Anolis sagrei: one gene and its partner. Each later gene encodes a partner of the first gene's protein in a complex. Links are inferred from orthologs where the notes say so. Each region holds a gene or a part of one and is shown on either strand. Other genes may lie near its edges. The genes, in order: WRAP53 and GAR1.

Region 1 (15,450 bases):
CTTTGGTTAGACCACACCTGGAATATTGTGTCCAATTCTGGGCACCACAATTCAAGAGAGATATTGACAAGCTGGAATGTGTCCAGAGGAGGGCGACTAAAATGATCAAGGGTCTGGAGAACAAGCCCTATGAGGAGCGGCTTAGGGAACTGGGCATATAAGAAGAGAAGGCTGAGAGGAGATATGATATCCATGTATAAATATGTGAGAGGAAGCCACAGGGAGGAGGGAGCAAGCTTGTTTTCTGCTTCCTTGGAGACTAGGACGCGGAACAATGGCTTCAAACTACAAGAGAGGAGATTCCATCTGAACATGAGGAAGAACTTCCTGACTGTGAGAGCCGTTCAGCAGTGGAACTCTCTGCCCCGGAGTGTGGTGGAGGCTCCTTCTTTGGAAGCTTTTAAGCAGAGGCTGGATGGCCATTTGTCAGGGGTGCTTTGAATACAATATTCCTGCTTCTTGGCAGAATGGGGTTGGACTGGATGGCCCATGAGGTCTCTTCCAACTCTTTGATTCTATGATTCTATGATTCTATGACTGTCTACAGACGTCACATGCAACTCCATCAGCGCTGCCTCTGGAAAATCCTGCAAATCTCTTGGGAAGACAAGCGGACAAACGTCAGCGTGCTGGAAGAAGAAAAGACCACCAGCGTTGAAGCGATGGTCCTCCGCCAACAACTCTGCTGGACTGGCCACGTTGTCCGGATGCCTGACCACCGTCTCCCAAAGTAGTTGCTCTACTCCGAACTCAAGAATGGAAAACGGAATGTTGGTGGACAGGAAAAGAGATTGAAAGATGGCCTCAAAGCCAACCTTCAAAACTCTGGCATAGACACTGAGAACTGGGAAGCCCTGGCCCTTAAGCGCTCCAGCTGGAGGTCAGCTGTGACCAGTAGTGCTGCAGAATTCGAGGAGGCACGAGTGGAGGGCGAAAGAGAGAAACGTGCCAGGAGGAAGGCATGTCAAGCCAACCCTGACTGGGTCCGCCTTCCACCTGGAAACCAATGCCTTCACTGTGGGAGAAGATGCGGGTCAAGAATAGGACTCCACAGCCACCTACGAACCCACAAAAATAGTCATCAAGGAAGACCATCTTACTCATCCAACGCGGGATCGCCTAAGGAAGTAAGTAATTAAGTAAGTACATTTTTGCACTTTGGTGATAGCATTTGCCAGTCTGAAAACACCCCTTTTTTTGAGACTATAGTTCCCAGAATCCCCCAGCTTGGGGATCATGGGAGCTGTAGTCCCCAAAGGCTAATGAATTAACCTGCCTCCAGCCTATCTTTCTGCTCCCAAATTCCTCAATCTTCCCCTTTTACTGACTTAATTTCCATTGATTATTCTCTCCCCAACCCTAGGAGTCTATTGGGAAGCGAGAAATGCACTCTGCACATGCTTCAGGATCCCTCGCTTCTTGCATACCTCTGTACTCTGGCATGACGTAGAGGTCTTCTCCAAAGAGAACAGGGCCGTCCCAGGTGCAGTAGGACAAGTAGTGGAACTGGTACCCAATAATCGTGTGGCCTGCAAAGAAAGAAAGACGAGGTTGCAAACCAAAGTCTCCATCGACAGGTCGCAGGTTCGAATCCGGGGAGAGGCGGATGAGCTCCCTCTATCAGCTCCAGCTCCTCATGCGGGGACATGAGAGAAGCCTCCCACAATGATGATAAAACATCAAATCATCCGGGCGTACCCTGGGCAACGTCCTTGCAGTCGGCCAATTCTCTCACAACAGGAGCAACTTGCAGTTTCTCAGGTCGCTCCTGACACGACCAAAATAAATAAAAATGTAATGTTCGTTTGTGGGATTAACAGAACTCAAAAACCACTGGACGAATTGACACCAAATTTGGACACAAGACACCTGACAACCCAATGTGTGTCCTTCACTCAAAAAAAAATTGATTTTGTCATTTGGGAATTGTAGTTGCTGGGATTTATAGTTCACCGACAATCAAAGAGCATTCTGAACCCCACCAACGATGGAATTGAACCAAACTTGGCACACAGTTCTCCCATGACCAACTGAAAATACTGAAAGGGTTTGGTGGGCAGTGTCCTTTGGTTTTGGAGTTGTAGTTCACCTACATCCAGAGAGCACTCTGGACTTAAACAATGATCTGGACCAAACTCTACACGAATACTCAATATGCCCAAATGTGAACACTGGTGGAGTTTGGGGAAAATAGAATCATAGAATCATAGAATCAAAGAGTTGGAAGAGACCTCATGGGCCATCCAGTCCAACCCCCTGCCAAGAAGCAGGAATATTGCATTCAAATCACCCCTGACAAATGGCCATCCAGCCTCTGTTTAAAAGCTTCCAAAGAAGGAGCCTCCACCACACTCCGGGGCAGAGAGTTCCACTGCTGAACGGCTCTCACAGTCAGGAAGTTCTTCCTAATGTTCAGAAGGAATCTCCTCTCTTGTAGTTTGAAGCCATTGTTCCGCGTCCTAGTCTCCAAGGAAGCAGAAAACAAGCTTGCTCCCTCCTCCCTGTGGCTTCCTCTCACATATTTATACATGGCTATCATATCTCCTCTCAGCCTTCTCTTCTTCAGGCTAAACATGCCCAGTTCCCTAAGCCGCTCCTCATAGGGCTTGTTCTCCAGACCCTTGATCATTTTAGTCGCCCTCCTCTGGACACATTCCAGCTTGTCAACATCTCTCTTGAATTGTGGCGCCCAGAATTGGACACAATATTCCAGGTGTGGTCTAACCAAAGCAGAATAGAGGGGTAGCATTACTTCCTTAGATCTAGACACTATGCTCCTATTGATGCAGGCCAAAATCCCATTGGCTTTTTTTGCCGCCACGTCACATTGTTGGCTCATGTTTAACTTGTTGTCCACGAGGACTCCAAGATCTTTTTCACACGTACTGCTCTCGAGCCAGGCCTCCCCCATCCTGTATCTTTGCATTTCATTTTTCCTGCCAAAGTGGAGTATCTTGCATTTGTCGCTGTTGAACTTCATTTTGTTAGTTTTGGCCCATCTCTCTAATCTGTCAAGATCGTTTTGAATCCTGCCCCTGTCCTCTGGAGTCTTGGCTCTCCCTCCCAATTTGGTGTCGTCTGCAAACTTGATGATCATGCCTTCTAGCCCTTCATCTAAGTCATGAAGAAAGATCCTGAACAGGACCGGGCCCAGGACGGAACCCTGCGGCACTCCACTTGTCACTTCTTTCCAAGATGAATCTTGACATTTGGGAGTTGTAGTTGCTGGGATTTATAGTTCACCTACAATCAAAGAGGATTCTGAAAACCACCAACGATAGAATTGGGCCAAACCTCCCACACAGAATCCCTTTGACCACCAGAGTGGGCCACAGCAACACATGGCAGGGGATGGCTAGTAGAATCATGGAATCCTAGAGTAGGAAGAGACCTCATGGGCCATCCAGTCCAACCCCATTCTGCCAAGAAGCAGGAATATTGCATTCAAATCACCCCTGACAGATGGCCATCCAGCCTCTGTTTAAAAGCTTCCAAAGAAGAAGCCTCTACCAAACTCTGAGGCAGAGAGTTCCCCTGCTGAACAGCTCTCACAGTCAGGAAGTTCTTCCTAAAGTTCAGGTGGAATCTCCTTTCTTGTAGTTTGAAGCCAAAGAAGGAGGCTCCACCACACTCTGGGGCAGAGAGTTCCACTGATGAACAGCTCCCACAGTCAGGAAGTTCTTCCTAATCTTCAAGTGGAATCTCCTTTCTTGTAGTTTGAAACCAAAGAAGGAGGCTGCACCACACTCTGGGGCAGAGAGTTCCACTGGTGAACAGCTCCCACAGTCAGGAAGTCCTTCCTAATGTTTAGGGTCTCCTTTCTTGTAGTTTGAAGCCATTGTTCCGCATCCTAGTCTCCAGGGAGGCAGAAAACAAGCTCCCTCCTTTCTATGACTTCATCTCACATATTCATAGCTATCATGTCTCCTCTCCTACCGGATGTTAGGAATTATGGGAGTTGAAGTCCAAAACACCTGGAGGGCCCAAGTTTGCCCATGCCTAGTATAAGGTATATTATGAGAGCCAGTAAGGATTTAAGTGACTGATTTGGATTGCAAAACCAGGTTTTGAATGTCTGCTTGGCTATGGAAACTCACTGAGAAACTTTGGGACAAGTCACACTCTCTCAGCCTCAGAGTTATCCCAAATATAGTAATCCAGAATGGTTTTCCCGCCCTGATCGTACCTCCTTTGGTCTTTTCTCCCGGGGGCAGCTCAGCAACCAGGCACCCGAAAGTGGGCTCTTTCCCAAAGCCATCTTCTTGGAAATCTACCAATAAATAAGGCAATGTTAAGCACTATATATAAAACATATGCATTTACATAGCTTCGTACGGTTCTGGAATTGACAAAATATGAATGGCCTTTCTTGAAAGCCACACGGCATCAAAATATATGCGTTCAACATCAAAATACACAATTTTCTACAATTCCCAGGATCCCATAGTTTTGAGCATTTGTGGGGTGAAGCTGCATTAATTCTATAGTGTAGATGCACTCGTTGTATGCTAGGGAATCTGGCTTTGAGCTTCGTTTCTTGCAAGTTGGTTAGAAGCCATAGCAAAACTCCAAATAACTAGAAAAAATGTATTGTCGAAGGCTTTCATGGCCGGAAAGGAGGTAACCATGAAAATGAACAAAATTTGGCTACTCTAAAATTGCAACAGCACAACAACAGAGAGGAAACAAACAAGGACATCTAATTACCTCTCAACAAAAGTTTGCTCCAGGCACAGTCAGCCCATTGTATGCTGATCAAGATGGTCAGTTGAAACATTCACACTTAGCTCCAGCAGACAAGAGTCCTTTGTCCCACCCTGGTCATTCCACAGATATATAAACCCTTTTTCCTAGTTCCAACAGACCTCACTACCTCTGAGGATGTTTGCCATAGATACAGGCGAAATGTCAGGAGAGAGTACCTCTAGACCATGGCCATACAGCCCGAAAAAACCTACAACAACCCAACTAGAAAAAAAATAAATATAAGCCATTCCTTACTTTTTGTGGTGGTCGTCACTTGGTCCAAAGCTTTGTGGAAAGCCGCAGATTCCTGGAAAGAGAGTAAGTTGTAATGGAAATGGAAATGAGAAAGGGGTCTCTGGAGGTCATCTAGTTTGACCCTCTCCAAATGCGTAAAGCCCAGAACCCCAGAGAATTCCTCAATTGATCCCTGTTGAGAATTGGAAGGTGGGGGAGGAGAGAGAGAGATACACCTGGAGTACAAAACCCATCATCCAGTATGACACACCAAGGGGAGTATGGGTTTTGTAGTTGAGGCACATGTCCAAATTGTCATTCTGATGCCAAAACAGAGCTTTAAACCCCTGAAATTTCTCACCCGAATAAGCCGCATGACCTCCTTAAGATCCCTTACGGCCCAGGGACGGATGATGCAGTTCATCATGGCTCTGATCTTGTCTCCTTCCAATTTGGACTCTGATCTGGTTAAAGAAAGCTGACTCCAGTTAAAAACTAAGCGTTCCCCTTCAATGGGCACCCCCTCCTTGCACCTATTAATTTTGGTCAGTTATTAATTTTGGGGATACGCTTGGAAACCCAACAAGGAAGATGGATCCATAGCAAGGTTCAAAGGGTGCTGTTGTACTTAGTTTTGGCCCCAGAAGCTGGCATATAAATGAGTTACAGGGTTGGTTAGTGATGTAAATGGACTTTCCTTGGCTTGTTATAACTCTCAATGGCTCTTGGAAAATCTGTTAAGCTGGAACCCATCTGTATTGCCATGTAATGCAGTGTGAAACTGCATTGTATGGTCAGTACAGACTCATATTATGCCATTCAATGCAGATTCATAATGCCATTCAATGCAGGTCCCCATCTACACTCCACTATATAATGCAATTTCATAATATGGTTAACTGCATTACATGGCAGATATATATACTAGCCATCCCCTGCCACGCATTGCTGTGTTCCAGTCTGTATATATGTGTTTTGTGTGTGTGTATATATTTGAGGAGCCTTCTAATCAAGGTGAAAGAAGAAAGCGCAAAAGCTGGGTTGCAGCTGAACATCCAAAATCCAAGATTATGGCAACAAGAATGATTGACAACTGGAAAATTGTGGGAGAAAATGTGGAGGCCGTGACAGGGTTTGTATTTCTAGGCGCAAAGATGACTGCAGATGCAGACTGTGGCCAGGAAATCAGAAGACGCTTCCTTCTTGGGAGGAGAGCAAGGTCCAGTCTCAATAAAATAGTAAAGAGTAGAGACATCAGACTGGCAACCAAGATCCATTGCCTAGTCCAAGCCATGGTCTTCCCTGTAGTCACCTACGGATGTGAGAGCTGGACCTTAGGGAAGGCGGAGCGAAGGAAGATCGATGCTTTTGAGCTGTGGTGTTGGAGGAAAGTGCTGAGAGTGCCTTGGACTGCGAGAAGATCCAACCAGTCCATCCTCCAGGAAATAAAGCCTGACTGCTCATTGGAGGGAAGGAGACTAGAGACAAAGTTGAAGTCCTTTGGCCACATCATGAGGAGACAGCAAAGCCTAGAGAAGGGAATGATGATGGGGAAAGTGGAAGGCAAAAGGAAGAGGGGCCGACCAAGGGCAAGATGGATGGATGGCATCCTTGAAGTGACTGGACTGACCTTGAAGGAGCTGGGGGTGGTGACGGCCGACAGGGAGCTCTGGCGTGGGCTGGTCCATGAGGTCAGGAAGAGTCGGAGACGACTGAACAAATGAACAACATATATTTGTGCATATAGAAGATGTGTATATAGATAGATAGAAGAGATAGATATAGATAGAAAGGTAAAGGTTTTCCCCTGACATTGTGTCTGACTCTGAGGTGTGGTGCTCATCTCCATTTCTAAGCTGAGCCGGCGTTGTCTGTAGATAACTCCAAGGTCACGTGGCTGGCATGACTGCATGGAACACAGTTACCTTCCCGCCGGAGAAGTACCTATTGATCTACTCGCATTGCATGTTTTTGAACTGCTAGTTTGGCAGAAGCTGGGGCTGACAGCAGGAGCTTACCCCACTCCCTGGAATCCACTCCCTGGATTCCCTTTCGGTCAGCAGCTCAGTGCTTTAACCCACTGCAGAGATAATAGATATGGCAGCATGGATGGAGCCCTAGTGTTTAGAGCTCAGGGCTAATCTACACTGCAGATTTAATGCACTTTGATCCCACTTTAGCTGCCATGGTGCAATGCTATTTAGTCCTGAGCACTGTCATTTGGTTCTCTTTAGTGTAGAACCTAAAATTCCATAGCATTGAGCCATAGTAGTTGAAGTAGTGCCAAACTGCATTACTCCCAGATGCATCCACGTGGGTGTGTTTTCTAGTTCCTGTTGCCCTTTAAGGAGTGAGGTCTCGCGAGAGCTCTACGCCCTTTCGCCTGGCTCCCGCGAGATCTGGGTGAGCCAGCCGGGAGGAAAAGTGGGCGGAGCCAGGGGTGTCATGGCGGCCTCCACAGTCCCCACGTGAGTTTGTGTTTTGATCTTGCTAAGCAGAGAGATTGTAAGTTTTGGGGACACTTTTCCCTCTTCTCTGCATTCTCTGGAGCAGATAAAAGGAACTGCTCCAGGGAATCCGCATGTAGAAAGGTATTAATTACAGTATCTGCATTATTGTTTGGCATTATTAACTGATATCGTTGATATTCTAATTGGGGCCCTCATTGCTATTGCGTAGAACTTAGAGAGGGATCCATCTTAGTTTGCTTTCTTGTAAAAGAGAAAAATGAGGAGTCTTGTGTTGTAATAAGAAATTCAGTGTGCAAATTTGATAAATGTGAATTTAAAATGATGTGTGGGAATGAATGGAAGGATGTATGGATAGAGCTAATAATTTTGGAAACACCAGTATAATATTAAGGCCTGCAATGACTAACTACCTGCTTGCTGGACTTGCTAATGAGAAACCCTGATAAGAACTGGGACAGTGATAAAGGAAATGTTTGCAACATGCCTTATGTTAAGAAGGAAGTCTTGTGTAAGATCAACACTAAGCCTTGTGTTTGTTAACACCAATCAAGAAGATCAACACTGAGATGGATCCAGGATGGAAGACGTCTATCATTAATTTACAACTTTGGGACTACATCAACAGAATTTTCCTATAAAAGACTCAGGCTAATAATGCTCAAATCGTGACAGACCGAGGAGTCTGATCCACCCGCCATGCTCTGCTCCATGGGAAGGACAGAGGTGGTGTATTCAGAGAGTGCCAGATATGCTATGGGAAAGCATGATTCTGGACATTTTGGGGCTTCTTTCTCAAGGGAAGAGGAAGAAGTGCCCTTTTGGAGTCTTAGATTTTATGCAGGGAGTCAAGTTCTGCTGTATGGAAAACAGAGGTCTGGTCCTTGGCACTGTTCTTAGGGAAAGAAGTTTTGGCATCTCAGCGTTTGAAGTTATGGAACTATGCGTTGGTTTGTTGTTGTTCATTCGTTCAGTCGTCTCCGACTCTTCGTGACCTCATGGACCAGCCCACGCCAGAGCTCCCTGTCGGCCGTCACCACCCCCAGCTCCTGCAAGGTCAGTCCGGTCACTTCAAGGATGCCATCCATCCATCTTGCCCTTGGTCGGCCCCTCTTCCTTTTGCCTTCCACTTTCCCCAGCATAATTGTCTTCTCTAGGCTTTGCTGTCTCCTCATGATGTGGCCAAAGTACTTCAACTTTGTCTCGAGTCTCCTTCCCTCCAATGTGCAGTTGGGCTTTATTTCCTGGAGGATGGACTGGTTGGATCTTCTCGCAGTCCAAGGCACTCTCAGAACTTTCCTCCAACACCACAACTCAAAAGCATCTATCTTCCTTCGCTCAGCCTTCCCTAAGGTAGGCTGCAGGAAAGCAGGGTCTGGCCTAAGAGGTGCTTCTCCAAGGAGGGAGAAAATGATATGGTAATATTTGGATGCATGTGGATGAATGCATGTACATGTGTGTGAATGCTGAGTGAAAATGTAATTCTCCTATGTTTGTTTGTTAACCAATGTAATTGTGAATCCAATGTAGTTGCATAGAATCTGTATGTCTGTATGTCCAATGTAATTCTTTGTCTAAATGTTTTCTATAATCTGATATATCTTCTCACACTGGAAATTGCAATAAAAAGAACCTATGCTTCAAAGTTATTGAAAAGTCATTCATGACAGTGTCGCTCTTAAGTCTAACCAATGTGTATATATCTTATGGTTTTAATGTGTTTTCATCTTATGCTTGTATTTTAATATATGCATTAAAATGATGTTATGTTTTCACTATTGTACCCCATCTGTGGCCTAGAGAGTCATAGAAAAATATTTATTATTTTATTATTTATTTACTACATTTTTACCCCCCTCTTCAAAAACCCCTGTGGGGGGACAGGGACTCAGAGCGTCTTATACTGGCAACAATTCGATGCCCCAAATATAACAAATAACAGCAATTCAATTCAAGGTGCAGGTGCTCACCTACAAAGCCCTAAATGGTTTGGGACCCGACTACCTGCATGACCGCATCTCCATATATGAACCCACATGATCCCTTCGATCATCTGGAGAGTCCCTGCTCACAATCCCACCTGCGTCGCAAGCGCGTTTGGTGGGGACGAGGGACAGGGCCTTCTCTGGTGGCCCCCCGACTCTGGAACTCTCTCCCCAAGGACATCAGACAAGCCCCAAAGTTGGCAGTCTTTAGGAAGAGCCTGAAGATTTGGCTGTTCCAGTGTGCCTTTCCAGAATAGGAAACTCCTGGCATCATGTCCCAAATGCACTTTGTTAGAGATTTAGGATTGTCTGCACATTGCACCTACCTCCAAAACCTCTACATTTCACCTGTCATATCCAGCACTTTTAAATTTTGTTCATTACATTGGCCCGGCCTTAGGTTTTAAATGCATCATGGTGTCATTGTTTTTAGTGTTTATTTTTGCTTGATGTTTATTGTTTGCTTTATGAGTTTTACTGCTGTATTGTTATGTTGTTGTTTTGTTGGCGGCCTTGGCCTTTGTAAGCCACATTGAGTCCTTCAGGAGATGTTAGCGGGGTATAAATAAAGTTAATAATAATAATAATAATGATAATATAAAACAATGAATAGAACAGTAGATTAAAAATCGTTAAGCGTTATTATCACATGCTACTCTGCTGCTGAGTATGCATGCCCGGTGTGGAACACATCTCACCACGCTAAAACAGTAGATGTGGCTCTTAATGAGACATTATTATGAGGGAATCCTTTCTAATATTTAGGCACAACTTGTTCTCTTGTAACTTGAATCCACTAATTTGTGTCCTAGACCCTGGAGCAGCATAAAACAACCTTGCCCTTATTTACATGACATCCTTTCTGGTATTTAACGATGGACCTGGGAAGGAATCCTGGGAGTTACCCTGGACAGTTATCTGACCTACAAGAAGCACTGCTTGAATATCAAGCAAAAAGTGGGTGATATCATACGAAAGCTGAATGGCATAACCTGGGAATCACAGCCAGATACAGTGAAGATATCTGCCCTTGCGCTGTGCTACTCTGCTGCTGAGTATGCATGCCCAGTGTGGAACACATCTCACCACGCTAAAACAGTGGATGTGGCTCTTAATGAGACATGCCACATTATCCCGGGGTGTCTGCGCCCTACACCACGGGAGAAATTACACTCTCTAGCAGGTATTGCACCACCTGACATCTGCCGGGAAGAAGCAACCAATAGTGAAAGGACAAGGCAGTGACATCTCCAGCTCATCCCCTGTTTGGGTATCAGCCAGCACGTCAACAACTTAAATCCAGAAATAGTTTTCTAAGATCTACAGAGACACTCGCTGGAACACCTCAGCAAGCGAGAGTCCAAAAGTGGCAGGCTCAAACCCAGAACCTCAACCAATGGCTGATACCAAATGAGAGACTCCCCCCTGGGCACACAGAAGACTGGGCGACTTGGAAGGCGCTGAACAGACTGCGCTCTGGCACCACGAGATGCAGAGCCAACCTTAAGAAATGGGGCTACAAAGTGGAATCCACGACTTGTGAGTGCGGAGAAGAGCAAACCACTGACCACCTGCTGCAATGCAACCTGAGCCCTGCCACATGCACAATGGAGGACCTTCTTGAAGCAACACCAGAGGAACTCCAAGTGGCCAGATACTGGTCAAAGGACATTTAATCAACTACCAAGCTTGGAAACTTTGTGTTTTGTTTGAGCCTGCCACTTTTGGACTCTCGCTTGCTCAGGTGTTCCAGCGAGTGTCACTGTAGATCTTAGAAAACTATGTCTGGATTTAAGTCGTTGACGTGCTGGCTGATACCCAAACAGGGGATGAGCTGGAGATGTCTCTGCCTTGGTCCTTTCAGTAATGGCTGCAACTTCCCGGCGGATGTCAGGTGGTGCCATACCGGCTAAGCAGTGTAATTTCTCCAGTGGTGTAGGACGCAGACACCCCGTGATAATGCGGCATGTCTCATTAAGAGCCACATCCACTGTTTTAGTGAGATGTGTTCCACACTGGGCATGCATACTCAGCAGCAGAGTAGCATAGCGCAAGGGCAGATGTCTTCACTGTGTCTGGTTGTGATCCCCAGGTTGTGCCAGTCAGCTTTCGTATGATATTGTTTCTAGCACCCACTTTTTGCTTGATGTTCAGGCGGTGCTTCTTGTAGCTAAGAGCACGGTCCAGAGGGACTCCCAGGTATTTGGGTGCGCTGCAATGCTCCAGTGGGATTCCTTCCCAGGTAATCCTCAGAGCCCGGGATGCTTGTCTGTTCTTGAGATGAAAAGCACATGTCTGTGTTTTACATGGGTTAGGTATCAGCTGGTTTTCCCTGTAATAGGCAGTAAGGGCACCTAGAGCTTCGGAGAGCTTCTGTTCTACCATCCCAAAGCTCCCTGCTTGAGCGGTGGTGGCACAATCGTCAGCATAGATGAACCTCTCTGTCCCTTCTGGCAGTGGCTGTTCATTTGTGTCGATGTTGAACATGGATGGAGCAAGCACGCTCCCCTGAGGCAGGCCGTTCTTCTGTTTCCTTCATCTGCTTCTCTGGCTCTGGAACTCAACAAAAAAGCTCCTGTTTTGTAGTAGGTTTCCTATGAAGCAGGTGAGATGGTAGTCCTTCGTGATTATTATACATTTTTCTCAGGAGGAGGCGGTGGTTCACAGTATCATAAGCTGCTGACAGGTCTATGAAGACAGCTCCTGTGATCTAATGCCTTTCAAAGCCATACTGCAAATAAATAAATAAATAAATAAATAAAAGGTGGGGTGGTCTTGCTACTGAATTTTGTGATGATACCCAGAGGGATTGGATTTGAGCTTCTCTTGCTTCTTTTGTTTGATCCGCAGGGACATCACTCCATCCTGGCACTCTCCATTTCTATGCAGGGATGCATGAAGCACCTGATGCTGTCTCCTCTTCAAGCTCTGGTGGGAAACCTGTCTTGGACTTGGACAATAAATATCCCAGTCCTGCCTCTTAGAGTTTGGGTTTGGATCCTGGAAGTCTTGTGCGATGGAGACTCAACCGTCTTCTGACAATCCGGATGTAGTCAATACGGACCCGCCATCAGGTGTGGAACCAGATGGAGATGTGGGACCATTTCCAACCGTGCCAATGCAGATTGGAGATCCAGGAAATGAAGAGGGTTCGGCTGAGATGTTTTCTGGAACTGACCTCTCAGGAGGAGAGCCCCAGTTGGAAGATGTTAAGCAGCCTTCAGAGCAAGGACCAGAGGAAGAGAAGAAGGAAGAACATGAACCTTCGACAGAAAGAGGCGAATATTAGTGAGTTATGGATGTTCTCTTGTAGTCTGCTCGATGGAAACAGCTCAAATTAGAGTACATCTACACCAGGCATGGGCAAACTTGGGCCCTCCAGGTGTTTTGGACTTCAGCTCCCACAATTCCTGGCCTCAGGCCCCTTCCTTTTCCCCCTCAGCCGCTTAAGCGGCTGAGGGGGAAAAGGAAGGGTCCTGAGGCCAGGAATTGTGGGAGTTGAAGTCCAAAACACCTGAAGGACCAAAGTTTGCTCATGCCTGGTTTACACTGTAAGTTCAATACACTTTAACATTACTTGAACTGCTTTGGAATGCTGAGATTTGTCATTTGGTGGTGCACCAGCCAAAGAAGGGTAAAGGCCTTGCAAAACTATAACTCCCATGACTGCATCGCTGTTAGGAATGGTGGGAATTGAAGTCATGAAGAGTCAAAGTTTGCTTATGCCTGATTTAGGTAAACACTTTGCACGTGATTTGCTTTTTGCTTCTCTCCTAGCCTTCCAGCATATGACTTCTCCCAGCCTCCCAGACTTCTGACGGGCTCTTGGGCCGAGTACGGCCGCATGCCGGAAAACTTCTTGAAGGGATGCAAATGGTGAGTAGGTGGCCTGGATAGAGGGTTCTAATTGTACCTTGTTCCCTGTTCTTGCTATTTATTTTATTTATTGTGTCAGGAGCAACCAGACATTTGTATTACATTTTTAACAAAACAAACAAACAGATAAAACACAAAGTTTGCAAGCTTGGTAGTTGATTAAATGTCCTTTGACCAGTATCTGGCCACTTGGAGTGCCTCTGGTGTTGCTGCAAGGTGGTCCTCCATGGTGCATTTGGCAGGGCTCAGGGTGCATTGCAGCAGGTGATCAGTGGTTTGCTCTTCTCCACACTCGCATGTTGTGGATTCCACTTTGTGGCCCCATTTCTTAAGGTTGGCTCTGCATCTCGTGATGCCAGAGCGCAGTCTGTTCAGCGCCTTCCAAGTTGCCCAGTTTTCTGTGTGCCCAGGGGGGAGTCTCTCATTGGGTATCAGCCATTGATTGAGGTTCTGGGCTTGAGCCTGCCACTTTTGGACTCTCGCTTGCTGAAGTGTTCCAGCAAGTGTCTCTGTAGATCTTAGAAAACTATGTTCTTACTATGGAAGGGTCCATGAAGGGTGATGAATCTGATGGACCAGACACTGAATCTCATTGGTGGTGTTGCTAATGCCATGTGTGATAAATTCCCTACCTTTTAGGCCAGCGTAAAGCTCAGGAAATAGGCCCAGTTGTTTTGGCAGCCATTTTATGAAATGCCTGGGAGCAGCCATTTTAGGATTTTCTAGGGGAGGTGGAGCTTAGAAGCAGCCTGGAGGGAAATGAGTACCCTGTTGAAATCACAGGTCCGCAGTCTGGGTGTCCTCCTGGACTCATCGCTTACGCTTGAAGGTCATGCGTCGGCGGTGGCCTTTGCACAATTAAGACTCATGCGCCAGCTGCGACCATATCTCGTGAAGGCGGATCTGGCCAGGGTGGTCCATGCCTTAGTCACCTCTAGATTGGACTACTGTAATTCACTCTATGTGGGGCTGCCCTTGAAAACAGCTCGGAAATTTCAGTTGGTCCAACGGGTGGTGGCTAGGTTGTTAACTGGTGCTCCTTTCAGGGAGCGGTCAACCCTCCTGTTTAAGGAGCTCCACTGGCTGCCATTCATTTTCCGGTCCCAATTCAAGGTGCAGGTTCTTACCTACAAAGCCCTAAACAGTTTGGGACCCGCCTACCTGCGTGACCGCATTTCTGTGTATGAACCCACACGATCTCTTCGTTCATCTGGAGAGTTCCATTACACCATGCATCTCTTTTTAGGGCCCCTGATGGGACTTGTTTGCTCACCAACAGTGCGGACAACACGCTGCGGATTTACAACCTTCCGGCGGAGCTGTATTCTGAGGAATGGGGGACTGTCGCTGAAATGGTACAAAGTTGAGGATGCAGGCCTTGTGTACAGTGGGCACAAAGGGGAAAATAACAATAGCAACAACAGGAATAATAATAATTTATTTCCTGCCTCTCATTGCAGCTTGAGGCTGGGTGCAACATGCTTAACACACAGAGAGAAAACAGAATCCTGTCATCAAAGGCTTTCATGGCCAGAATCACTGGGTTGCTGTGAGCTTTATGGGCTGTCTGGCCATGTTCTAGAAGCATTATCTCCTGACGTTTCGCCTGCATCTGTGGCAGGCATCCTCAGAGGTTGTGAGGTCTGTTGGAAACTAGGCAAGCGAGGTTTATATATCTGTGGAATGATGTCCAGGGTGGGAGAAAGAACTTTTGTCTGCTTGAGGTAAATGTGAACGTTGCAATTGGCTACTTTGATTAGCATTGAATGGCCTTGCATCTTCGAAGCCTGGCTGCTTTCTGCCTAGGAGAATCCTTTGTTGGGAATTCTTGTCTGCTTGAGGCAGGTGTGAATGTTACAATTGGCCATCTTGATTAGGATGGGGGAAAGAACTCTTGTCTGTTGGCGGCAAGTGTGAATGCTGCAACTGATAATCTTGATTTGCATTGAATAGCCTTGCAGCTTCAAAGCTTGGCTGGTTGCGCCCTGGGAGAATCCTTTGCTGGGAGGTGTTAGCTGGCAATGATTGTATCCTGTCTGAAATTCCCCTGTTTTTTATTTTTTTTAGTGTTGCTCTTTATTTACTGTCCTGATTTTAGAGTTTTTTAAACACTTGTAGCCAGATTTTGTTCATTTTCATGG
Region 2 (15,029 bases), on another chromosome or scaffold:
GGGTTGCAATCTTAACTTCCAAAACAGCCCAGAGGGAACTGACAATATTTAGAAACTATAGAATATTACATGTCTTATTGTAGTAACTCAGAAAAAAACTATATACTCTAAAACATGGCATGGCTAGAACGAGTATTGCATGTAACATGTTGTTGCAAGTCCCATTATAACAACAAATTTGTCTGACTGTACATCCCCTCAACTTGGTATACTAACCTTTATGCCGTGTGTGGCACACCACCTTTGCCAACTTCACATCACTTTGATTCAACCGACTTACAGCACACTCAGCCAAACTGGTCTCTATCCCTCTGCAAGTTGCCTTAAGGCATTCCAGTGGCTTTGAGGCATTATCTGGATCAATATGTTCTATGCGATCAGCCCCTCTATGCAAGGAAATATAAAACACACACATTAAGTATTATCACTGTTTGAAGGACAATATATACCAGCTATTTCTGGCTTTAACTTCCTCAGTGGTCAAAGAGGAAAGAGTCTTTGCAAGAGTCTTTGAAACATCTCTGCCTTCTAGCTGTTAGGAATTATGAGAGTTGCAGTCCAAAACACTTGGAGGGCCAAAGTTTGTCTATACCTGAGTTAGAGTGCATGTATATGATTTCGCAAGTGCCAGGTAACCCAGACTTGTTAAATGAAGGCTCACCATGATGGGAACTATTATAAAAATCTGGGGGGCACAGGGTTAGGAAAGATTGCTTTTATCTATAGCCAAGCCAACACAGAAGATTCTGGTACTTTGCTAATTAGTGGTGCTATCTTTTAAAGATCACAGTAATCAGCTTCAAGATCCCTCCATTCCACTTTGTGCAAGAATTTCTTACTCTGGAAAATTAAGCTCCTTGCAGGCTACGTTGGCCTCTTGTATACCCCATCCTTCTCCACATATAAATGCCTTCTCAGAGTCTTTCAATTCGACTTGAACAATTCCTTCTGAAGATGTATTTTTAGGTTCCAAAAGAACTCTAAAAGTCTCTATAAAAAAGAAAATATATTACAATTTATACTCATTCAATATATGAAAATTGATCAAAATCCACAAGTAGCCTACTAAGGTAATTGTACTCAAGAAAAGAACTAGAAAATATAGAATTGGAATTGGAAGAGACCACAAGGGCCATCCAGTTTAACCTCCTGAAATGCAGGAACACACAACCAAAGCACTCCCAACAGAATAATTGCTGAACTAAATGTAATTTACATATATTGCTAAATTAACATGTCATAAGAATCCATTTGTAAGTAAAAGTAAAAAGTCCCAATGAGATATTGTGCCTATTACAAATAATGCATGTGCCCCTTACTCTGCTATTCAAATCAAGACCTCATTGGGTTGTTGTAGGTTTTTTCGGGCTGTATGGTCATGTTCTAGAGGCCACATTCCTCTGCCCCCAATGCTAGTTCTTTGCAAACAATTGTGTAAATTTGACCTATATAAAAATATTAAATGTTGTTTCACACATTTAGTGAAACATTGAAGATTCCAATCTGCTTTCATTCTCCATCCTAAAAGCTTGTCCCTCTCCATACCAATGATTGATATAAAACCCCAAAAGAGAAACAGAATCTTTTTACCTTGAAGGTTGCAGCTTCCTCTGTGCATAAACTTGCCCTTTTTACGTTGGCATTCATAGCTTTTCAGCTGACAGTAAGTTCGGAAAGTTGCCTTGTCGGTCGTACAAACTGATGTCCCATTTTTGGGGCATTGGTAGGGCAGCTTACAGAGACAGGTCCCTTTTACACACCTCTGCCATGGATGGCAGAAAACCTTCGCACAGGAATTCTGAGTATAGCTCTTGTTCACACATTCTTCTACCAGGTCTGTCTCTTGCTAGAAGAAAGAAACACTTTTATGTAACATTTATGTGTATTGCAGATCCATGACAGATACGTTCAAAGATATAAATCAAAATAATAAACAAAGTACTGAAAATAAAAGGTTTCTTGCCACTAAACTAGAGATTTCATTTAAAACAAAATCTTACCTTTTGTCCAAAAGCACAAAGTAAAAAGGATAAAATGAACACCAGAGGGGTCAATGGTTTCATGGTGAAGAGCTATCTTTATATCAGAGAAAGTCTTTTCTCTAGAATTCTTCCCAGTTTCAGGTTTGTGTTTAATGATCAACCACTAACAAATATTTGGGAAAAGACAGTTTTGAAATCAAGTGTGGGAAATTCCGCTTGCATTCATGACTCCAAACTCTTTTGGAAGATCTTCCTGTTTGTTTCTTTCTAGCTCCAAAAAATGAGAAGAGAAGCAAGAAAATAAAGGTCTGGAAGATCTCAGTAGGCGTTTACTGATCTGTGTTTATCTCTCATGTACCAGTCTCTACACTTTCATATTATTAGGGAGTTACTTCCTGATATCTACTTCTATGGGACAGCTGCAAAGCACAAAGGAAGCATGATTTGCATATTTCTCTGAGTGCAGGATGGATATTTCAAACTGTGCTTGGCTGGTTGCTCAATTCTTTAGTAAACGGACTGAAAAGAAGCATTGTGTGTTGTTCAATAATAGGAGTGCCAATTTCCGGGGTCAACAGGTCAACACAGGAAAGCATAACATATGGTACCTGCTCAACAAATAATGGGACTTTCCTAGCACACTTTTAATTCAGAATAGCAGCAGGGAAAATGGTAATACGATTTCATTTTTTGAACGACAGTTCAGAAAGGGTTTGGACAAGAGGTCCCATATGGCTTTCTGTACTGCATACATGAAAATTCTTCTGTGTTCTTTTGGGGAACAGTGCAGGGCAGGTGAAATCTGATGTGGAGGAAGAAATGCAAAGCTGCTATCTCTCAGGAAGGGGAAAGTTTGTTTTTTCCTCCCCTTCAGTATTTCAGAAAGGGAAAGCCAAACAAATGAGTTCCCATGGAAGAATAAGGTCCTGTCTGGTCTTGGAAGCTAAGCAGGTGGAATCCTGGTTATTATTTGGATGGGAGACCACCAAATGTGTTGCATGCTTGCAGGTGTGAAGGCAGACTAAATAGTCCTAGATAATCTACTTACCCAGACACCAATGGAGCTGAAATACAACCATATGTTTCAATATCTTGCTCATGAATTACACATTGGAGATTGAGCAGAAATAATCCCATATAGCGAGAGTGAACGAGGGATATATTTTATACCACTTTCTTTACAGCCCAGTGGTTTTATAGAAAGAGAGGAAAATCCAAGACAATCTTAGTAGGCTTCACCTCCCTAGGGATCTTATTTTAAAATGTTGGAAGCTGCTTTGGGTCCGAATTGTGAGAGAAAAGCGGCATATAGGTAAATAATAATAATAATAATAATAATAATAATAATAATTTGAAACACAACAAGATGAGTCCACAGCAGACACTCTGCTGGCTGTTGAATTGGATCACATGTCGGACACTTCCCAAGTGTCTAGGACTGTGTGATGTATCGGCAAATAATGCGTGCAGATCCCAGTAAGGTGGCCTTCTGCAGCTGGCAGATGATAATTTTGTCAGCGCCAATTGTGTTTAAGTGCAGGCCAAGGTCTTTAGGCACTGCACCCAGTGTGCCGAACACCACTGGACCACCTTTACTGGTTTGTGCAAGAGTCTTTGCAGTTCAATTTTTAAATCCTCATATCGTGTCAGCTTTTCCAGTTGTTTTTCTGCAATCCTGCTGTTACCTGGGATTGCGACATCAATGATCCATACTTTGCTTTTTAACACGATTGTGAGGTCAGGAGTATTATGCTCCAAAACTCTGTCTGTCTGAATCCGGAAGTCCCAGAGGAGTTTGGTGTGTTCATTTTCTGTAACTTTTTTCGGCTTGTGATCCCACCAGTTCTTTGTCGCAGGCAGATGGTATTTGTGGCACAAGTTTCAATGAATCATCTGAGCAATGGTGTTGTGCCTCTGCTTGTAGCCTGTCTGTGCGATCTTCTTGCAGCAGCTCAGGATGTGATCTATTGTTTCATCTGCTTCCTTGCAGAGTCTATATTTGGGATCTGTTGTCGACTTTTCAATTCTGGCTTTGATGGCATTGGTTCTAATGGCTTGTTCTTGGGCTGCCAGAATCAGGCTCTCTGTCTCCTTTTTCAGAGTTCCATTTGTGAGCCACAGCCATGTTTTTTCTTTGTCAATTTGGCTCTCAATTTTTCCCAGGAACTGTCCATGGAGAGCCTTCTTTTGCCAGTTTTCTCTTCTGCTCTGGATTGTGTTTTTACGGTATTCCCTCTTTGTCTTTTGCACTTTAAGCAGTTTACTACTATTGACTTCCCTCAACGTTGGTTCTTGACTGCCTTTCACATAATCTGCCAGGGCGTGTTTCTACCATTTGTTTCACTTGCAGAAGCCCTCTGCCTCCTGATTTTCTGGACAAGTAAAGTCTGTCAATGTCACTATGCGGGTGTAATGCGTAGTGGATTGTCATCAGTTTTCTTGTTTTTCTGTCCAGATCATTCAACTCTGCTTCTGTCCAGTTCACAATCCCACCAGTGTATCTAATGATGGGGATGGCCCAGGTGTTGAGAGCCTTGATCGTATTTCCGCCATTTAATTTGCTCTTCAAAACCTTTCTGACTCTTTGGATATATTCTTTGCTGACCAAATTTTTCACTTGACCATGCTTGATATTGTCCAGTTGTAGTATGCCCAGATATTTATAGGCTTCAGGCTTGTTGTACTTTATGGTTTGTCCGTTTGGCATCTCTATGCCCTCGCTTTGTGTAATTTTCCCTTTCTTTAATGCCACTGTGGCACATTCATCTAGGCCAAATTCCATACTGATGTCAGTGCTGAAGATTCTGACTGTTGGTCAGTGACTCGATTTCAGTTTCTGATTTTCCATAAAGCTTTAGATCATCCATGTACAACAAGTGAGAGATTTTTGGTGAATTTCTTGCTGTTTGGTAGCCTAGGTTGTTTTTATTTATTTATTTATTTATTATAAATTTTTATTGAATTTTATATAGTTACAGCGAAAGTGGGGGAATAATATAAGATAGAAAAGTAGCAAAAAAGTAGGTTATTTTTATTTATTTATTTGTTGTTGTTATTATTATTATTATGGCAGCGCTTGTGGGATGTTAAAATTGAATGGTATCAATTACAAATATAGATGCTGGGTCAAGATTAGATCTTGAATCACTTGTTTTGGCATTTGCCTGAGAAACGTGCAGCACTAAAACAGGAGGCAGGATGTGAGTGTTTACATTAGGCTTGCTCTTAATGTCCCCAAACATCTGCATGGAAGACAGATCTTTGAGCATTAGGCACGAGGGGCCGAAGAGGGCTCTGTGACCAATTTTAGCTGAACACACCCACAAAGCCCCCACTTTCCAATTCCTACCACCCTATACATTGGAAAGTAAACAAAATTTGGCTACCAGTATTTAAAAAACTTTAAAATCAGGACAGTAAATAAAGAACAACACTCAAAAAAAGGGGGATTCCAGACAAGAAACAATCAGGGTCAGCTAATCACCTCCCAACAAAGGATTCCCCAGGCAGGAAGCAACCAAGCTTTGAAGCTGCAATGCTATTCAATGCAAATCAAGGTGATCAATTACAACATTTGCACTTGCCTCAAACAGACAAGAGTTCTTTCTCCAGCACTGGACAATCCACAGATACAGAAAACCCACTTGCCTAATTTCCAACAAACCTCTGAGAATGCCTGCCGTAGATGAGGGTGAAACGTCAGAAGACAATGCTCCTGGAACATGGCCATACAGCCTGGAAAAACTCACAGCAACCCAGAAAATCAGACAAGTTTATGTGGAATGACTCTGAAAACCAGGGTTTGAATCCTCACTTAGCTGTAGGAACCGACTGTGATTGAGGGCAAAGGTAAATCTCCTGTGAACCAACTTTGCCAAGAAAACCCTATTTTAGAGTCATTGCAGGTTGGAAACTGTCATAACTCACCTTCTGGAGTCAGATGATTGAGAACAGAGGAGCCAGATGTCCAGGCATGTGCATCTCCTGATGATAGGAGAAAGCAGGGAGCTTTGCACGAAATGGAGGATGTTGAAGATATGCCACCATCCTTTTCTTAACAAAAATGAGGTAGAGATTGTGATGATCCTGGCAGCTGTGACATAGCTGATTAATTAGGCACCTGGTGTTTTGGAGGTATTTGACCATAGAATCTACCAGCAGCCCTCCCCCATTTTTGTTCTTCACAGCTATCTTATCTATGTGATTGATAATACTCTCCTGGCATTTGTGTTTTCTTAACCTTAAACTGGCTATATTTTTGACAACTCTGTTTACTGCTTGTTGGCCCAGGAGATGCCTTGATGTTTTGATGTGTTACCATCCTTGTAGGAGGCTTGTCTCATGTCCTCATGTGAGAAGCTGCAGCTAACAGATGGGAGCTCACCCCGCTCCCTGGATGCGAACTTTTGGTCAGCATTCCTGCCGGCACAAGAGTTTAACCCATTGAGCCACCGGGAGGCATCATGACCATCAACCATGTGTTTGACTAGTCTTACATTATTGAGTGACACAGATTTGGAAGCCCTCCAGATGTTTTGGATTTCAACATATCCTTGGAAGCATCCATGCGGATCCCATTTCAAACTACGTCTCTACGTCTGTCTCGGCATGGGCAAACTTTGGCCTTCCTCCAGGTGTTTTGGACTTCAACTCCCACAATTCCTAACCGCCTAAAGTTTGCCCATGCTTGATCTAGACCAGTGGTTCTCAACCTTCCTATTGCCGAAACCCCTTAATGCTGGGGTCACCTCATGTTGTGGTGACCCCAACCGTAAAACTATTGCTACTTCATAACTGTCATTTTGCTACTGTCAGGAATCATAATGTAAATATCTGATATGCAGGATGTATTCTCATTCACTGGACCAAATTGGGCACAAATACTCAATATGCCCAAATTTGAATACTGGGGGGGGGGGGGGGGGGTTGATTTTGTCATTTGTGAGCTGTAGTTGCTGGGATTTATAGTTCACCTATAAACAAAGAGCATTCTGAACTCCACCAACAATGGAATTGAACCACACTTGGCACACAGAATTACCATGACCAACAGAAAATATTGGAAAGGTTTGATGGGCATTGACCTTGAGTTTTGGAGTTGTAGTTCACCTACATCCAGAGAGAACTGTGGACTCACACAACGACGGATCTGGACCAAACTTGGCATGAATATTCAATATGCCCAAATGGGAACACTGGTGGAGTTTGGAGAAAAATAGACCTTGTCATTTGGGAGTTGTAGTTGCTAGGATTTATAGTTCACCTACAATTCAAGAGCATTCTAAACCTCACCAATGACAGAATTCTCACCCAGAATCCCCATGACCAACTGAAAATACTGTGTTTCCTGATGGTTTTTGGCAACCCCTTTAACACCCTCTCGTGACCTGGCAGGGGTCCCGACCCCCAGGTTGAGAAACACTGATCCAGACATTATAGTGCTATATAATTTTTTTTCTGAAATCCAAAAAAGGCAGCAATTTTAACCTTATTTCTACCTAAGCTTTATTTGCTTTTACTTGCATTACACAGTAATAATTAATCTAATCAATGGCATTGACTAAAATGGCATTGGCTTTTTATGCTGCTGCATCACACTCTTGGCTCGTCTTGTTGGATAATCTGAAACATGCCTGGACTGAATTAAATACTTTGCAACTCTTGCATTCTAACGTTCTGATGCTAAATGAAGCAATATTTGTAGTTATTAATGCTTTTGAGGACTTGCCTTTAAAAAGTGGGCTTACTGTTTAGTGTCAGCAACTCATTTCTGATTTGTTGCAACCCTAGCTGGGTTTTTGTTTTGTTTGTTTTTAAGGCAACATTGACTTAAAAACTTCTCAGTCTGCCAAACTTTGGGAATATAATCCTGGCTGAAAGTGGAACGAGAGCCGGAAGTGACAGTCGCTCTCAAAAGACCTTACCTCTTTGATCATTCTAGCCAATAGATTCGCAAAGGGAGAGAGGACTCGCCGACAAGCGGAAGGAGCGTGTCGAGAACCCAGCTTGGGATTGGCCGGGCAGCGGGAAAGCGACGCTGTTCGTTGACGTCATCAGAAGCGGCCGGTGCGTGTGTGTTGGGGACCACGTGGGAAGCCAAAGGGGATCTTTGTGCTCAAGGTACCAGAAAAGGGTATTTTTTTGGGGGGGGGGGTGGGGGGGTGGTGTCATATATTCATTGATTTCTACGGAATTTTGCCATTCCTTACTTTAAACTATTTAGCTGGATCCAGTCTAGAGGTGCGTCCACATTGTTGAATTAATGTGGTTTGACACCACTTCAACTTCCATGGCCCAATGCTGTGGAATGCTGGAGTTTGCAGTTTAGGCCTCTTCCACACAGATGTGCAAAATCCCAGATTATCTGCTTTGAACTGGAATATATGGCAGTGTGGACTCAGATAACCCAGGGCCCTTCCACACAGCCCTATATCCCAGAATATTGGGGCAGAAAATCATAGAATCAAAGAGTTGGAAGAGACCTCATGGGCCATCCAGTCCAACCCCATTCTGCCAACAAGCAGGAACGTTGCATTCAAATCACCCCTGACAGATGGCCATCCAGCCTCTGCTTAAAAGCTTCCAAAGAAGGAGCCTCCACCACACTCCGGGGCAGAGAGTTCCACTGCTGAACGGCTCTCACAGTCAGGAAGTTCTTCCTCATGTTCAGATGGAATCTCCTCGCTTGTAGTTTAAATCCCATATTATCTGAGTGTGGATTCGGATAACCCAGTTCAAAGCAGATATTGTGGGGGTTTTCTGCCTTGCTATTCTGGGATATAGGGCTGTGTGGAAGGGCCCCCAGTCAAAGCAGATATTGTGGGATTTTCTGCCATTATATTCTTTATTATAGGACTGTGTGGGAGGGCTGCTCTCTTTGACAGAGAAGGCTATTGCTGTTGTTCATTCGTTTCTGGCTCTTCGTGACCTCATGAACCAGTCCATGCCAGAGCTCCCTGTCGGCCGTCACCACCCCCAGCTCCTTCAAAGTCAATCCAGTCACTTCAAGGATCCCATCCATCCAACTTGTCCTTGGTCAGCCCTCTTCCTTTTTCCTTCCTTTTCCCCCAGCATAATTGTCTTCGCTAAGCTTTCCTTTCTTCTCATGATGTGGCCAAAGTACTTCATCATGGCCTCTAAGGCTAAGGACCTTGTAAAACTACAACTCCCATGATTCCACAGCATTGAGCCACGGGAATTAAAGGGCCCTTCCACACAGTCATATAACCCAGAATATCGTGGCTGAAAATCCCACACTATCTGCTTTGAACTGGGTTATTTGAGTCCACACTGACATATATTCCAGTTCAAAGAAGAAAATGTGGGATTTTACTCAGCTGTGTAGAAAGGGCCAAAGTGGTGCCAAACAGAATTAATACCACTCTGTAGACCAGGAGTTCTCAAACTTTTTAAACAGAGGGCCAGATTATAATTTGGAAAAAAGATGAATGAATTCCTATGCACACTGCACATATCTTATTTGTAGTGCAAAAAACACAAGCAATAAATACAATAATTAAAATGATGAACAATTTTAACGAAATATAAACTTATTAGTATTTCAATGGGAAGGTGTTTTTTTTTTTTGTTGTGTCAGGAGCGACTTGAGAAACTGCAAGTCGCTTCTGGTGTGAGAGAATTGGCCGTCTGCAAGGACGTTGCCCAGGGGATGCTCGAATGATTTGATGCTTTTATCATCCTTGTGGGAGGCTTCTCTCATGTCCCCGCATGAGGAGCTGGAGCTGGTAGGGGGAACTCATCTGCCTCTCCCTGGGTTCGAACCTGCGACCTGTCAGTCTTTAGTCCTGCCGGCACAGGGGTTTAACCCACAGCATCACCGGGGGCTCCTTCAATGGGAAGTGTGGGCCTGCTTTTCACTGATGAGATTGGGTTGTTGTTGTTGTTGTGTGTTTTCAAGTTGTTTAAGACTTAGGTTGACCCTGAGAGAGGGCCGGGTAAAGGACCTTGAAGAGCTGTATCTGCCCCCCGAGCCTTAGTTTGAGGACCCCTGGTATAGACACACATTTCAACCCAAGAGATCAGGGTTTGAGTCCCAGCTCAGCCCTGGAAACCCATTGGGAGGACTTGGGCAAGACATGCTCTCTAAGGCTGGATCTACACTACCATATGATGCAGTTTGAAATGGTCAGTGTACTGTAAACACATATAATGTATTTTAACTGCATTGAGCTGCATCTACACCAGGTCTGGGCCAACCTTGGCCCTCTAGGTGTTTTGGATTCCAAATCCCACAGTTCCTAACAGCTAATAGGCTGTTAGGAATTGTATGAGTTGAAGTCCAAAACACCTGGATGGCCAAAGTTTGTTTATGCCTGGTGTACTCTATTTGTCTACCCCTACATGACTGAAGGCACACAACAAAAACAACATTTGTCTGTGTTTATATATACATACACATATATGGAGTTTATTTCCAAAAGGTACCAAATCCACCTGAACACATGCTGAGGATGTTCATTCTTTTGCTATAAAATGCAATTTCTCGAACCCTGCACTGAGGTGATTTTGTTGTTTTGATATGTACACAATATTCCAAGCATAGCCAACAATGGGTTCAGTACCTTTTGGAAACAATGTCCACATATATATGCAAACACAGGTCATCCCAAAGAGTATACCCCCTTTAACAACTAATAATAGCCATGGTGATGATGTGAAGGCTAAGTAAATACATTCATCTCAAAGAATGAATGTTGTTACAATGATTTAATCAGAATAAAAATTCCCACTTGGCCATAGAAACCCATAGAGGAAGGCAAAGGCAAAATCTCTCTAAACAAATATTGCCCATTGTGATAGATGGATAGATAGATCAGGCTTGCCGCAATTCAGAAACGAAGTGAAAGCACTCCTCTTTCTAACGTTTTGGTATTTCAATACAACAAATTCCATTGTACACCCAATCTTGATACCTAGCAAAAGCTGGATCCGCACTGCCATATCTACATATCTATGTTTTAATTTAATTCCAAGCTGCTGGGAATACTGGAGTGCTACCTATTTGTTTTTGTTACAAAGCAATATGATGAATTTCTCCTGACGTTTCGCCTGCATCTATGGCAGGCTTCCTCAGAGGTCTGACCTCTGAGGAAGCCTGCCATAGATGCAGGCGAAACGTCAGGAGAAATGCCTCTAGAACATGGCCATATAGCCCGAAAAAACCCACAAGAACTGAGTGATTCCGGCCATGAAAGCCTTCGACAATACAATATGATGAAGTTTACACTAGTAGATTTTGCATACGTTAAGAATTGTTATTATTACATTTTTGTCACAAAGTGGATCACAACATTAAAAAACAGCACTATTATTTTTGCAGTGTTTACATTTTTGCTGTTTCTCATAGTAAAACAATGGTTCTCAACCTGTGGGTCCCCAGGTGTTTTGGCCTACAACTCCCAGAAAACACAGCCAATTTGCCAACTGTTAGGATTTCTGGGAATTGAAGGCCAAAACATCTATGGACCCACAGGCTGAGAACCACTGCTCTAAAATATAATTTCAGTGAGCACTGAGCTTCTGGAAAGGCTTACAAAGTGCTGTCTGCTGGATTGTTTTATAGACTGTTCTGTGTTACCCATAACACCAGCTAATGTGATTGGCACAGTGAATATTATAGTTCTTTGCTAGAAATGTGTTGCTTTTGTTGCTATTTTTCTGTTGAACAGAAGGGAGGGATGTCATTTCGAGGAAGAGGAGGGGGCAACCGTGGCGGTGGATTCAACCGAGGCGGAGGCGGCTTCAATAGAGGTGGATTCAATCGTGGTGGTGGAAGAGGTGGCTTTGGAAGTGGAGGAGGACGAGGAGGCTTTGGACGTGGAGGAGGACGAGGAGGCTTCAACAGGGGTGGATATGATCAGGGACCCCCTGAAAGTGTAGTCAGTAAGTGGTATGCACTTCTAATGGAATTGGAAGAAAATATTGTGGCAAATATTGTGACTGACTTCTTACTGTTTCTTTTGCAGTTCTGGGAGAATTTATGCACCCTTGTGAAGACGATATTGTTTGCAAATGTGTCACTCAAGAAAACAAAGTGCCTTATTTCAATGCACCAGTCTATTTAGAAAATAAAGAGCAGATTGGGAAAGTGGATGAAATATTCGGGCAGCTCAGAGACTTTGTATCCTTTGAGTTATTAAACACTTATATCCCATCCTATGTCACGCAATGGGTTAAACTGCTGAGCTGCTGAACTTATTGACCAAAAGATCGGTGGCTCGAATCTGGGGAACAGGGTGAGCTCCTGCTGTTAGCCCCAGCTTCTGCCAACCTAGGAGTTTGAAAACAAACAAATGTGAGTACATCAATAGGTACTGCTCCAGCAGGAAAGTAACAGTGCTCCATGTAGTCATGCTGACCTTAGAGGTGCCTACGGCCAACGCCAGATTTTCAGAAATTGAGATGACCCCTGACCCCCCCCCCCCCCCCCCCCCCCCAGTCAGACACAACTAGACTTAATGTCAAGGGGAAATCTTTACCTTTGCTATATCACAGGATCTCAGAATAACATATAGTGTAAGTAGTTTAAAACATTTCTGGAATAAATGTGAGTCATTTACACAAAATAAAAACATATTAAAGTAACAGTTAAAGCCACTATAGAACTGTAGTTTAAATCTATTTGCATGTATACTTGAAATATCTTCCTAAATATTCATATATAAATCAACTTGCCATATAATCCAGTTCAAAGCCAAATTGTCTATGATAGTGTAGAGGGGGCCTCAGAAATGGGATTTCTCAAGTGTAACAAAATCCTTGACACTGAAATGTTCTTCTCATGGTGATTATTTAGTCTCCATTGCATTTTAAGATTTATCGTTAATATCTTCTCATTATTTTCTGTATTGATTTTTTTAAAATGGGAGTGATAGTACACAATGATAGAGATCATTCCTAAAAACAAACAGGAAGAAGGGTATTGTATTCCTCAAGTTCTCAGAATTTCCATAGTTTATTTTCTAATTTAATTATTTAAAAGGCAGAAATTAGTTTTATTCAGATTTAGACCCCCTTCTACACTGCCATATAATATCTAGGTTATCTGATATGGACTGATTATATGTTATACACTCATATATTGTTTGTTTGTTTATTATATTTATATATTGCCTTTCTCAGCCCGAAGGTGACTCAAGGTGGTTTACAATCAGCATAATCGAATGCCCCCAACAACATAAAATATAGTTAAAACATTAACATATAGTATAAATCATATAAAAGCAATAAAAACAATAAAACACACAGTTCAAAGCAGATAATGTGGATCTGGAGTGTATGGCAGTGTCGAAGGGGCCTTAGAGTAAACACACTGAAGTCAATGGACTATAGCCAGTTACGATTAATAAGTGTGACTTGGGCTTTGTGTAAGAGTTAACCATTAATATGCTTATGGAGGAGATATAAAATGCTTTTTCAAGTGATTTCCTTAAGCAAATCTAATAGTATTTTTCAGTCAAACTGTCAGACAATATGAAAGCGTCTTCCTTCAAAAAACTACAAAAGGTAAGGTGAAGTTTATCTTCAATAAATGTAAACCTTTGACTAACTTACTAGATTTGTTAAATAATATTTAGTCATTAATAACTGAATTACAAATAATAACATGTTGATCAATTGATTTGTAGTCCACAAAACTCTGGGTACAGCAATAGAAAGAGAATGGTATGAGAATGATAGAATCCTAGAGTGGCAAGAAACCACAGGGCCATTCACTCCAACCCCCTGCAATGCGGAAGACAAAATCAAAGCACCCCTGACAGATGCCCATCCAGCATCTGCTTAAAAATCTCCAGAGAAGGAAACTTCACCACACTCTGGGGCAGCATATTCCACTGCTGAATAGCTCTTACTGCCAGGAGATTCTTCCCAATGTTTAAGTGGAATCTCTTTTCCAGCAATTTAAATCAATGGTTCTATTTCCTAGTTCTCAGAGCAGCAGAAAACAAGCCTTTCCCCCTCCTCAGTGTGACATCCTTTCAAAAATTTAAACATGGCTATCACTTTCCCTCATAGGTTTTTTTTAATCCCTCCAAACTACCCAGCTCCCTAAGCCATTTCTCACTGGGTTTAGTTTCAAACCTTTGATCATTTTGGTCACCCTTCCCTGGATATATTCAGGTTGTCAGTATCCTTCTTGAACTGGTCACAGTATTCAAGGTAAGGTCTGATTAAAGCAGAATAGAATGGGTCTATTATTTACCACATTTGTACCCTGCCCCTCTCATTCCGAAGGGGACTCAGAGTGGCCTTACAAAGGCAACAATTCAATGCCACATAGATACATATCAATAAAATAAACAAATGCATTAAAATACAAACAGTTAAAAACATCAAATATTATGACTTTTTAGGCTGAGGGAGGTCTGTGACTTCCCTCAGTTTCAATATTATACTCCTATTAATGCAGCCTTGAAGGCTTTTTAGCTGCTGCATTAAACTGTTGACTATTCAGCTTGTGGTGTACTAAAACTCCTAGATCCCTTTCACATGTACAGTCATCTGTACATTTGATGAGCATGCCTTCTGTTCCATCATCCAATATTTTCTTCAATAAAAACAAGGTTAATTTAATTTGACAGTTGAAAGATATGTTGTCGAAGGCTTTCATGGCCGGAATCACTGGGTTGCTGTAAGTCTTTCGGGCTGCATGGCCATGTTCCAGAAGTATTCTCTCCTGACATTTCACCTGCATCCATGGCAGGCATCCTCAGAGGTTGTGAGGTCAGAGGTTGTGAATGATACTGTAAAACTGAACTGTACATCTCCAATTTTAAGACATTTTATGTATGCAAACATGATATTGAAAGAGTTGACAAATTGTAATAAAAGCCTTCTGTTTCAGTTTTATATCGATCCAGCAAAATTACTCCCTCTGCAGAGGTTTTTGCCAAGGCCTCCTGGAGAGAAAGGACCTCCTAGAGGCGGGAGAGGAGGCCGCGGAGGAAGAGGAGGAGGCCGAGGAGGTGGTAGAGGCGGAGGTAGGCTGCCTTCGTCCTTGCATTTGTTCAGAGCACCCTTTGCCAG

The links.
Region 2: WRAP53 (region 1) and GAR1 share a complex: the UniProt entries of both Homo sapiens proteins name them as parts of the telomerase holoenzyme complex. The link is inferred for Anolis sagrei from reciprocal best matches to the Homo sapiens genes WRAP53 and GAR1.

Annotation. Positions count from the first base shown.
Region 1 is NC_090026.1:5,546,865-5,562,314, forward strand, and holds the start of WRAP53 (telomerase Cajal body protein 1), read left to right. Parts: upstream 1-7,400; 5' UTR 7,401-7,448; intron 7,449-7,461; exon of another isoform or gene 7,462-7,485; intron 7,486-7,497; exon of another isoform or gene 7,498-7,571; intron 7,572-12,283; 5' UTR 12,284-12,449; coding exon 12,450-12,721; intron 12,722-13,210; coding exon 13,211-13,309; intron 13,310-14,555; coding exon 14,556-14,664; intron 14,665-15,450. Other genes in the region: thialysine N-epsilon-acetyltransferase-like, read right to left, coding at 1,428-1,529, 4,187-4,270, 5,002-5,053, 5,342-5,407. UniProt on the Homo sapiens protein: RNA chaperone that plays a key role in telomere maintenance and RNA localization to Cajal bodies. Specifically recognizes and binds the Cajal body box (CAB box) present in both small Cajal body RNAs (scaRNAs) and telomerase RNA template component (TERC).
Region 2 is NC_090025.1:31,122,794-31,137,822, forward strand, and holds the start of GAR1 (H/ACA ribonucleoprotein complex subunit 1), read left to right. Parts: upstream 1-7,993; 5' UTR 7,994-8,048; exon of another isoform or gene 8,049-8,102; intron 8,103-11,671; 5' UTR 11,672-11,680; coding exon 11,681-11,885; intron 11,886-11,968; coding exon 11,969-12,123; intron 12,124-13,448; coding exon 13,449-13,508; intron 13,509-14,847; coding exon 14,848-14,983; intron 14,984-15,029. Other genes in the region: CFI (complement factor I), read right to left, coding at 217-386, 840-990, 1,591-1,846, 2,001-2,063. UniProt on the Homo sapiens protein: Required for ribosome biogenesis and telomere maintenance. Part of the H/ACA small nucleolar ribonucleoprotein (H/ACA snoRNP) complex, which catalyzes pseudouridylation of rRNA.